Linked DNA regions of Saccharomyces cerevisiae S288C. The protein of the gene in region 3 interacts with the protein of the main gene of each other region in a biochemical or structural test. Each region holds a gene or a part of one and is shown on either strand. Other genes may lie near its edges. The genes, in order: MEI5, IME2 and RFA2.

Region 1 (3,154 bases), on a different chromosome or scaffold from region 3:
AATATGATGACGCTATCGTAGAAAGCTGCCGAGTGATTTCGCTTATTATTTCTAATGTTGTTTCTAATGATTTATCAAACTTCGTTTCCTTGCGGAAGATTCTCCCCAAATTGAAATTCTCATCATAGTAGACAGGCAGAATCAACCAATCACCGGGAGCGTTCGTAGTGGAATTATTATATTCGACACTGTTAACCATTCTTTTCTTGATTTTGGAAAATGAACCCATCGGTTGTAATTCGTAGTCTACTAAATTTATCTTCAGGTTTTTGTTTATGGTAGCCAGTAAAAGAATCAATTGGCCCAGTGCTGCATTGATTTCCTTCCAAGGTACCACTGATTCTGGTATACTGCCTAATCTCAATCCATTTATAGTGGCAAAGGGGCCGCTATGTGAGATTTTGAATGTAGCATTGAAAATATTGATTTTCCTCAACTTATCTAATTGATTCAAGGATAATTCGTATTGCAGTTTTAATGACTGTAAATTTTTGTTGAATTGAATGTTATTTAAATCCATTAAATTCTGATCACTCAGTTTTTGGAGTTTCTCATTTTCCAGTTGAACTTTCTTTTCTTGTAAACGAACTAGTTCTCCATCTAAGTCATCATCTGTCATTTCCAAACGTAATAATTGATCCAAGAGTCTTTCCTCTTCCTTTTTCAAATTTTCTTTTTCCGAAAGATTATGGGAATACTGCTTTTCTTTATTGCTTTCTGATATTTCTTTGTTTTGACTCTCTAACTTCGATAAAAATTGAGCGTAAGTATCTCTCTCTTTTATTGCATCATCATACTCACTTTTTAGTCTGTTTATCAAGATGTTACAGCAGTCCTGACAGATAGGAAAGTCTATGTTTGTTTGAGAAGATAGAATGTTAAATACATTAGTCATTGCGTTGACTTGTGTGGACAAAGTCTTGGAATTCAATTGTATTTGTTGGTTTTCGTCCTCATCCGTAGCTTCTTGTTCCTCTTCGTCATGATCTCGAAAGGTACTGGTTCCATCGGAAGTATCACTATTAGCTTTTTTATTATCATTTCCGTTGGCATTTCCATAACGCTGGTCCTCTCTGCTATTACTCGTAATATTAGCATTATCATCATCATCGTGATTAAGAAAAACAAACGAATCAGTGATTAATTTATCATCTTTTAAATTCAAGTCTTTTATGTTCTGAATCTCCCCTAATCGCCTCAGCCTCTCCTTCGGTATTTGAGGCCCACAATTATCTGCGGCTTCGATGCCCTTGTTGCTGATGACATTTTCATTCGTTGCAGTGATAATTGAATTATTTGAAAGTAGCAAATTTCTTTGGGTTAAACTAAGACCTTCTAAAGATGGGTCTAGTTGCAGGGGTAAGTGACATGTTTGGCACTTCATTTTAATGCCCGTGTCTGGGAGTCTTTGCGAAAACAGTGACTGCCATAAAACGTAACTGAACTACCTAATGTGCTCCCATAGCACTACCCTTTTACTTCTATGAGAGCAAAATCCCCAGGCGGGTGACACTTAAGTACTACTAATGAAGGTAAAAGGACTATGTAATTCGATTATACCACCAGTCCATACTTCCCGATAGTTGATTTAAAATACACCTGGTTCGAACTATTTCTCTCTTAGTTGACACTTTATATACCAACTTTCTATATGAAAGTGATCATTTTACTATAGGATTAGCCGCGGAAAAAGTATTAGCCGCCCAAACTTCTATGTACCTTCCGCATAAATAGGAAAGAAAACAAGAAACTTGAACTTAAAATACTTCCACATCACAAGTATACTTTCCAGGAAAAGCACCAAATTACAGTTATCTAATAGTAATGCACAATCAGGAAGAGTGGCTAGACAAGGACAAAACTTTGGTGAACGAAGAAGAAAATACTTGCATCAACCATTCTTATACAAAAAAGGACACTAATAACTATCGGGTCGGTAAAAGCGGTATTAAGGACTTGAAGAAGCCTACGAACCAGAAGGAAATTGCGATAAAAAATAGGGAGTTAACGAAACAACTTACTCTTCTCAGGCAAGAAAATAATCACTTACAGCAGGCTTGTAAAATTCTCAGCGAAAACAAGATCATTGAGAACAGAAAATCCATAGAAAAATGGAGGACAATTTGTGAGATGGAACTGTCTTTTATTTTAAATTCCACTTTAATCAAAATCAATAGAATGGGCGGCTATAAAGATTTTCTAGAAAAAGAAATGGAGGCTAAAAAGAGAAGATTGGAATATCAGATTGACAACGGTATGGAAGATCAAATCTGTGAAATAAAGGAAAGTGATGACTTTAGACAACTTTCAGAAGTTGAGAAACAAGAGTGGGAGAGTCAAATGAATGAACAGCTGAAAGAGTTGGAAAAAAAAAAAATAGCGGAGCTGGAAAAATTGAATAAGGTGCTGCATGATAGCGAAGGGAAAGATTTTGGAATGGCTGAACTATGCACTAGGTTAAAACTTGACTACAGCTTAATCTTTCCACAATGAAAAATGCGTAAAACGTTTATTCATCTTGCATTTCTATTAGGTACGCGATTACTGAAAAAACGAATGTATTTTTTTGTTGTAGCGCAAATTACGCACCATCATATATTCACATATAACCTAACTTCATCGTCAGAATACAATACTAGTAACTTAGCATTAAAAGCCACCATCAAAGGGAAGAAGTGAACAATATAATGAGTGACTATTCCCTGAAGCATTCGGTCACTCAGTATTTGGAAGAAATTCCTCAACAAGTTCAAAATAGGCTTTATACCTCACCAGCTACATGTCTGGCTATCTATAGAATTTTACCACCACTAGCTAAATTTTTTATCATGGCAATGGTTTTCAACGAAAATGAAGTACCTTTGTTGGATTTAGATAAATGGGTTAACTCTAATGGTAAATTGCAGTTTCAGAATGCAATCAAATCGATGAAGTCTTTGCATCTTCTTATACCAAATAAATCATCTGGTACTTTGATGATCAACCTAAACCCAACATTCAAAATCAGCCTGAGGAACGCATTAACGGGTGGGGAAGTTCAAAACTCATTCGGTGTGGTTGTAGAGGAAAACGTAGTTAGCCTGGACTTGTTGGATGAATATTCAGCTAATAAATGGGAAACAATATTACATTTCATGGTTGGCACTCCCCTCGC
Region 2 (4,110 bases), on a different chromosome or scaffold from region 3:
GAAATACCTAGATCACTGATGCTTTTACCACTTAAATTGCCTTTTTTGCTCTCGGCTGAATTGGAAGTGCGATGGTCACTACTATCTTCAAGATTCACTCCCGCTTGACTTTGCTCGGAGCTTCCCACCCGAAAATCTGACACAGGAGTGGTTGGTTTTTCATTTCTACCGTCCATTGTATAGCCTATCGGTTATTCGATCTTTTTTCTTTTGTTATTCTATATCTAAAAGATAAAAGTCGCACACCGCTAAGTAAGTAAGTAAGTGTTATATAAGATTTATTTAGCTACGTTCTCAGATATAGTAGGCTTAAAACAAACGTAAAACATAGTTATATATTAATATGCAATTCGGTTTATTTCTTTTTCAAGATTCTTCCGAATTTCGTCATATTGGGTTCGCAATTTTTGGCGATGGCTTTGCTTCGATATTTTTCGGATGAAAATAGTCAAAGGACACTAGAAACACGAATGGCGCGCTGATTACGGAGACGTCGGGCTAAGACAAAGAGGGTCCATTCGGCGTGCTGGTGGTACTGTGACAGATAAACCCAATGCCCCACTTTTCTCGAGGAGTTGAAACAAGCGGGACAACTGCTACGTCATAAAAATGGGAGTACCAAGGGAGGAGCCATAAGCCGGGTAAAATTTGGCGCTGTTTTTCTTAATCTAAAAATAGTTCAACAATAAAATTTGGGCTCCGCCCATCCAGACCAAAGCAATCTTCGGCCTTAACAAGCCAAAGGGAACGAAACCCAGACTCTACCATGCATTTCGAACATGTTGTAGCTAACTACACTGGTAACCCAGATACCTATTCTCTCAGTAGCTGTTTCACCAAGACTCCGCACTCATGGTAAGTAGAAAAAGAAAACTCTCACAAAAATCTGAGTGGCACAGCTTTTCCAAATACGCTTTTTAAACTTGGAGAAATAAAGATGTATTACCCGCTGGTGCCTTAAAATATCCTTTTCTCCGGTTGTCCAATAATTTATGTTACGGCGGCTATTTGAGTTTTTGTGGAAATCTCTATCATTAATAAATGTCAGCCTTGTGTCTTAAATGCAATTCAACAGGGAAAAGGCGCGAGACTTCGGCGGCAAAAAGCCACAGACAAGTGCTGGTTGCAAAGAGGTAAAGAAGTAATGTGTGTAATCAAATAGATATATTAAGGTAGCAACTCACCGGTCTGTCCATTTTCTTTTCCTGAATAACTTCTTCTGTCTTCACACATTCATTTCATTTTTATTTTCCAATATCACTCAACGAGAAAGAAGTTACAAGATCTATCTTTCAAAATAGTTTACAGTTACCTTTACTTTACCCTTTCCCTTTTCAGTTTGTTACCCCTTCTCCTAAAAGTTTTATTTTTTGGGTAAAGATATAAAGGACACTCCAGTCGGTTAAGGTGGCTGTCTAGAGAATATAAACCTGTATTTATTTACCAGGCTTATCAGAAAAGTTAATCGTGTTCTTAAATATTCATTGAAAAGGAACGTGATACAGACGTAATAAAAGAAGAGTACTAAGCTTAACTTAATAGGTCATTTATGGTTGAAAAACGTAGTAGACAGAGTTCCAGTAGTGGCTCAGAGTTCAGTGTTCCACCTGATGTCGATAACCCGCCACTTTCTATCCCTTTGAAGACTTTATCAGACAGATATCAGCTGATCGAAAAACTAGGTGCAGGATCATTTGGTTGTGTAACTTTAGCCAAAGCGCAATTTCCTTTATCGAACATATTGGGTAAACAACATGATATAAGGGGTACTTTAATGGATCAGCCTAAAAATGGTCACCAAAACTATATAACAAAGACACAAGGTGTAGTGGCTATAAAGACAATGATGACAAAACTGCATACACTCCAGGATTATACGAGGGTCAGAGAAATTAAGTTCATACTGGCAATCCCAGCGAATGACCATCTGATACAAATTTTTGAGGTCTTTATTGACTCTGAAAATTACCAATTACATATCGTAATGGAATGTATGGAGCAAAACCTATATCAAATGATGAAACATAGAAGGCGCCGAGTTTTTTCGATTCCTTCTTTGAAATCTATTCTATCGCAGATACTGGCTGGGTTAAAACACATCCACGAACATAATTTCTTCCACAGAGATTTAAAACCTGAAAATATTCTTATCACACCAAGTACCCAGTATTTTGAAAAGGAGTACATGAACCAGATTGGATATCAAGATAACTATGTCATTAAACTTGCAGATTTTGGTTTGGCACGCCATGTTGAAAATAAAAACCCGTATACGGCCTACGTTTCCACAAGATGGTATAGATCGCCTGAAATATTATTAAGAAGTGGTTACTATTCCAAACCTTTGGATATTTGGGCATTCGGGTGCGTGGCGGTGGAAGTTACTGTATTCAGAGCTCTCTTCCCCGGTGCTAACGAAATCGATCAGATATGGAAAATTTTAGAAGTTCTTGGTACACCTATCAAACGTTCTGATTTTGTTAATACAAACCACATCACAGCTCCACCACCTGGTGGATTTTGGGATGATGCCAGTAATTTGGTCCATAAATTAAACTTGAAATTGCCTTATGTAGAAGGTTCATCGTTGGATCATCTACTTTCTAGCTCCCAACTATCCGATTTATCTGAGGTTGTCAAAAAGTGTTTAAGATGGGATCCTAATGAAAGGGCAACAGCCCAAGAGCTTTGTGAAATGCCATTTTTTGAAAACACCGTGGCATCCCAAGTAGACGCAAGAGGCAATGTGACTAATACAGAACAAGCATTGATTTTTGCAGGTATAAATCCAGTAGCGACCAACACAAAGCCCATATATTTTAACTCTTCAACAAAATTGCCCGCAGAAACAGAGTCTAATGATATTGATATCAGCAACAACGATCACGATTCTCATGCTATGTGCTCACCAACATTAAATCAAGAAAAACTAACTTTGGTAGAATTTTTAAACGAATTCGTTGAAGAAGATAATGATGATCACTCAATACCTGATGTTGGAACAGATTCTACCATTTCAGATTCTATTGATGAGACTGAATTATCAAAAGAAATTCGTAATAATTTGGCCCTTTGTCAACTACCAGATGAAGAAGTCTTAGATCATTCATTATCGAATATTAGGCAGTTGACAAATGATATTGAAATTATAAATAAAGATGAAGCAGACAACATGGAACAGCTATTTTTTGACCTGGAAATTCCTGAAAAGGATGAGTTTCAGAGAAAACAACCATTTAATGAACATGCAGATATTGATGAAGACATCGTTCTACCATATGTGAACAACTCAAATTACACACATACAGATAGGTCACATCATAGAGGTGATAATGTTTTGGGTGATGCCTCTTTAGGCGATTCGTTTAATTCAATGCCAGATTTTACTCCAAGAAATTTCTTGATACCTACATTAAAAAAATCACGGGAAAAGTTCGAGCCTCATCTATCCAATTCAAACCAACATTTTGGAAATGTAACCTTCTAATAATTTGTCATTTGACTGACGAATCGTTAGGCACAGTTATATAGTTATATACACATAGACATACATATGTTCGCATATATATTATATTACTATGCATTCACCTAAATAGCTACTGCTCTATTAATACAGTGCTTTTTCGATGGCTTTAATTTAACTTATTAGACATTACTTTGCGTTTATTCCCCTCCAATATATTTTTATGTTTGTTTTTCTTGAACATTTTATGATTTCTTGCTCTTGGCGGCTACTGATTTTGTTAAGCAACTCATCAAGAGGTCAAAAAAAGTAGAACGAGATCTTTGTGTTCGGTTACCCGGCTCAGATCCTAACTTGGTATGTTTATTCGTATAAGTTACTGTTGTCCACAGGCAATACTCTGCAGAAAATTAAAACGGCATTAATGCTAGGACAACCAGAACTGTTACTACTGTATGTGCGATAGTTGATAACTGCAACATTATGCCCGGTATATTCTCAAAAAACCCTATTACTGCATACGAAGAAATCGCAAGAGAAATCTTTCGGTTTGGAAAAGCTCACTGTGAGGTTCCTTGGAGCCAATAGTAATACAGCACAATCCAAGGAAAAATCTGGCCTATATGCAAGGAAGGAGAGATAGTCAA
Region 3 (3,131 bases):
TCCTCTTTCAATAGTTTTAGCCTTTGTTGTCTCAATAATTGACCTTTCCCATAATGATCGGGCGAAAATAGACCAATTTTTGTCACCGTTTTGATATAATATTCTAGAAAGCAAAGCAGTAAGTTCTTCTTCCACAAGAGGATCCTTGGCCGGAGTTGTGTTCTTTATGGTGTAAAGACGTAACAGCAACTGGATGTTGTCGTAATCAGATAGGGTAGGTTGATCGTTAGGGTTCAAATCCAGCAACAACTTTGGAATATTTTCTTGACGTAGTGCCAATGGCAATAGTTTATCTTCTTCATAACCTTCATTTAGGTCTACCTTTTGTCTTTTACTATAAATTTGCTCGTCTAGAGGTTCATCAGCAATGGACTCAAAATGAGGCTTCTCCAATAATAGATCGGACTCTAAAGCAAATGTTTCTGGTGTAGCAGATGTCGTTCTCAAAGCAAAATTTTGAAATGTGAAGGATTTGGCAAGAATGATCAAACCGGCATGAGCCTTTTGCTGATATTTAGTTCTAGTAGCGCGTGCACCCGTCATTACAAATTCAAAATTTGTTATCTTTTTCGCTCTGGTCAAGGATGGCAGGCACAAATGTTCTGTGTTGATGGCCAATGAACATTTGACATTCTCTAGATAGTACATTGCACAAAGTTCTCTTTTGAAATCTTCGTGAATACTCTCCGGTAATTCCTTAGTTATCGCATATGCAAGGTCAGCAGACTGATATATTGCAGATGCAACACTAGCTTGGAACCCAGAAGGTTCTGGAATCAGTGACAATTGCGTCAAAAGAGCTCTTGCCCACCACCAATAAGCTACAGCTAATAATCCAGGAGTAGACTCAGCAGAGATAATAGGTAGCGGAATTTCTTGATCCGGGGTAACATCAAATAAGCTTTTTTGGCCGGTTATCCTTTCAAGTAATAATAGTGATAAAACCAAATACAATGGATCATCCATAAATTCGTAGGCAGGCTGGCCCATAATGGCTAATGAGCGGGAAAGGGCTGTATTAACTGCTCCTATTTCAATTCCAGTTTTGCCAAACAAACCTGAGATTGCTTTCAACCTAGCTGCTGGGCCGGTGTAGTTATTTTGAATAAAGGTCTGTAAGAGGGCAATAGCCAAAAATAGCATCTCATTTTCTTGGCCCATTTTGAAAACCTCAACGTTAAGAAAGTCATTTAGAGCAGCAATAACACTAGATGTGGATATTTCTCCCGAAATACTAATTTTTCCCTTAAATTTGTCCACAAATTGCTGTACTAGCTGGTATGATTCACCACTGATGATATGTTCAGCCTTTTTCACATATGTCTGGTCGAAAGAACCACTTTTCAGAGATTCTACTTCTGCAGACAGCAATAATTTTGCATGCAATAACGTCTCCATAATTTTGCAACCACTAGTTTACTTTTTGCCTGGTCTGATAGCTTCTTTTTAGCAATTCCTTTGGCCTCGATGAGCTTCCATTTTCAATTTTCATCTTTTTTTTCACGATGCGAAGTTTCTTAGATAATTATCGCCATATACGAAACGCGTTAGGAAACGCGTTCTTTCCTTTATAATAAGCAATATTATATCAACTTAAGGTGGAAGTAATGTGGCAAAATCGATAGCGACTATCTAGAACAGGCTAGTTTAAGCATATACATAATGGCAAGTATGTATTAGTGCTAGGAATTGGAGGATTTGCTCTTTTCTGCATCATTTTTTTTATTTTTATTGGCGAATGTTAAAATTACTAACAATGGATGGGATTCCAATACAGCCTATCAACCATATAACGAATATTCATCAGTAACGGGCGGTGGCTTTGAGAACTCTGAGTCCCGCCCAGGTAGTGGGGAGTCGGAAACTAACACTAGAGTTAACACCTTGACACCTGTGACGATCAAACAAATTCTAGAGTCCAAACAGGATATTCAGGACGGCCCCTTCGTTTCGCATAACCAAGAACTTCATCACGTTTGTTTTGTAGGTGTGGTGAGAAACATTACAGACCATACTGCAAATATTTTTTTAACTATTGAGGATGGAACTGGTCAAATAGAAGTGAGAAAATGGAGCGAAGATGCAAATGACTTGGCTGCCGGTAACGATGACTCTTCTGGTAAAGGTTATGGTTCGCAAGTCGCCCAACAATTTGAAATTGGCGGTTACGTAAAAGTTTTTGGTGCTTTGAAAGAGTTTGGTGGTAAGAAAAATATACAGTATGCGGTGATTAAGCCCATAGATTCATTCAATGAAGTGTTGACGCATCACTTGGAAGTCATCAAATGTCATTCCATAGCCAGTGGAATGATGAAACAACCTTTGGAGAGTGCATCCAACAACAATGGGCAATCATTATTTGTCAAGGATGATAACGATACATCTTCCGGCTCCAGTCCGTTACAAAGAATTCTAGAATTTTGTAAGAAGCAATGTGAGGGCAAAGACGCTAATTCATTCGCTGTTCCCATTCCATTGATCTCGCAATCCTTGAATTTGGATGAAACTACCGTCAGAAACTGCTGTACGACCTTGACTGACCAGGGTTTTATCTACCCAACTTTTGATGACAATAACTTCTTTGCCCTATGAAAATATATAGATTATTTTTTTAGCATTTCTTAGTATTCGTTTGTGTATTTCTACTAGGTAAGTACCAAAATTTGCCGGAAATAGAGTGGAAAATGGAACCCGTTCCAAGAAGGGGTAAGATGCATGAATATTAAGTTGGTTGCATAAATATGCTATATAAAGTCCACTACAAAAAGTCATTTATTTTTGCCCGTAAGAATAAAGAACGAATCCGTCCTTATCTCTGACTTCAATGGGAACATTTACACGCAGTACGGGCTTCAATAATAGTTCCCAGTCGTATCTGGTTCTAGGTGTACATAATGAAAAATGTCTCAGCATTCTTATTTTGACAGCTTTGAATTTTGACAAATTTCTCAGGAAACACCAGAGGTTAATATTTGGAATATCTTTAAAATTCTCTGGATCTTGGAAATCATTGAAAAAATTTTCCAATGTCACATTTTGTAAGAACTCCTCCACATCTAAATCTCTATATTCGATGGTTCGGTTCTTCAATTTGATTAAACTATCTCTTAGGCAACGCCTTACAGAGTTGT

The links.
Region 1: the proteins of RFA2 (region 3) and MEI5 form a complex in vitro, tested with the Saccharomyces cerevisiae proteins (one study listed by BioGRID).
Region 2: of the proteins of RFA2 (region 3) and IME2, one has a biochemical effect on the other in vitro, tested with the Saccharomyces cerevisiae proteins (2 studies listed by BioGRID).

The regions. Positions count from the first base shown.
Region 1 is NC_001148.4:320,301-323,454, reverse strand, and holds MEI5 (Mei5p), read left to right. Parts: upstream 1-1,824; coding exon 1,825-2,493; downstream 2,494-3,154. Other genes in the region: VPS30 (beclin 1), read right to left, coding at 1-1,384; TFIIH/NER complex subunit TFB2, read left to right, coding at 2,688-3,154. UniProt on the Saccharomyces cerevisiae protein: Involved in meiotic DNA-break repair. Required for the recruitment of DCM1 to meiosis recombination hot spots.
Region 2 is NC_001142.9:219,841-223,950, forward strand, and holds IME2 (protein kinase IME2), read left to right. Parts: upstream 1-1,549; coding exon 1,550-3,487; downstream 3,488-4,110. Other genes in the region: YJL107C (uncharacterized protein), read right to left, coding at 1-176. UniProt on the Saccharomyces cerevisiae protein: Protein kinase which is essential for the initiation of meiosis and sporulation.
Region 3 is NC_001146.8:46,625-49,755, forward strand, and holds RFA2 (Rfa2p), read left to right. Parts: upstream 1-1,662; coding exon 1,663-1,669; intron 1,670-1,777; coding exon 1,778-2,592; downstream 2,593-3,131. Other genes in the region: tetratricopeptide repeat-containing protein EMW1, read right to left, coding at 1-1,398; putative SCF ubiquitin ligase complex subunit SKP2, read right to left, coding at 2,773-3,131. UniProt on the Saccharomyces cerevisiae protein: Binds to single-stranded sequences participating in DNA replication in addition to those mediating transcriptional repression (URS1) and activation (CAR1). Stimulates the activity of a cognate strand exchange protein (SEP1).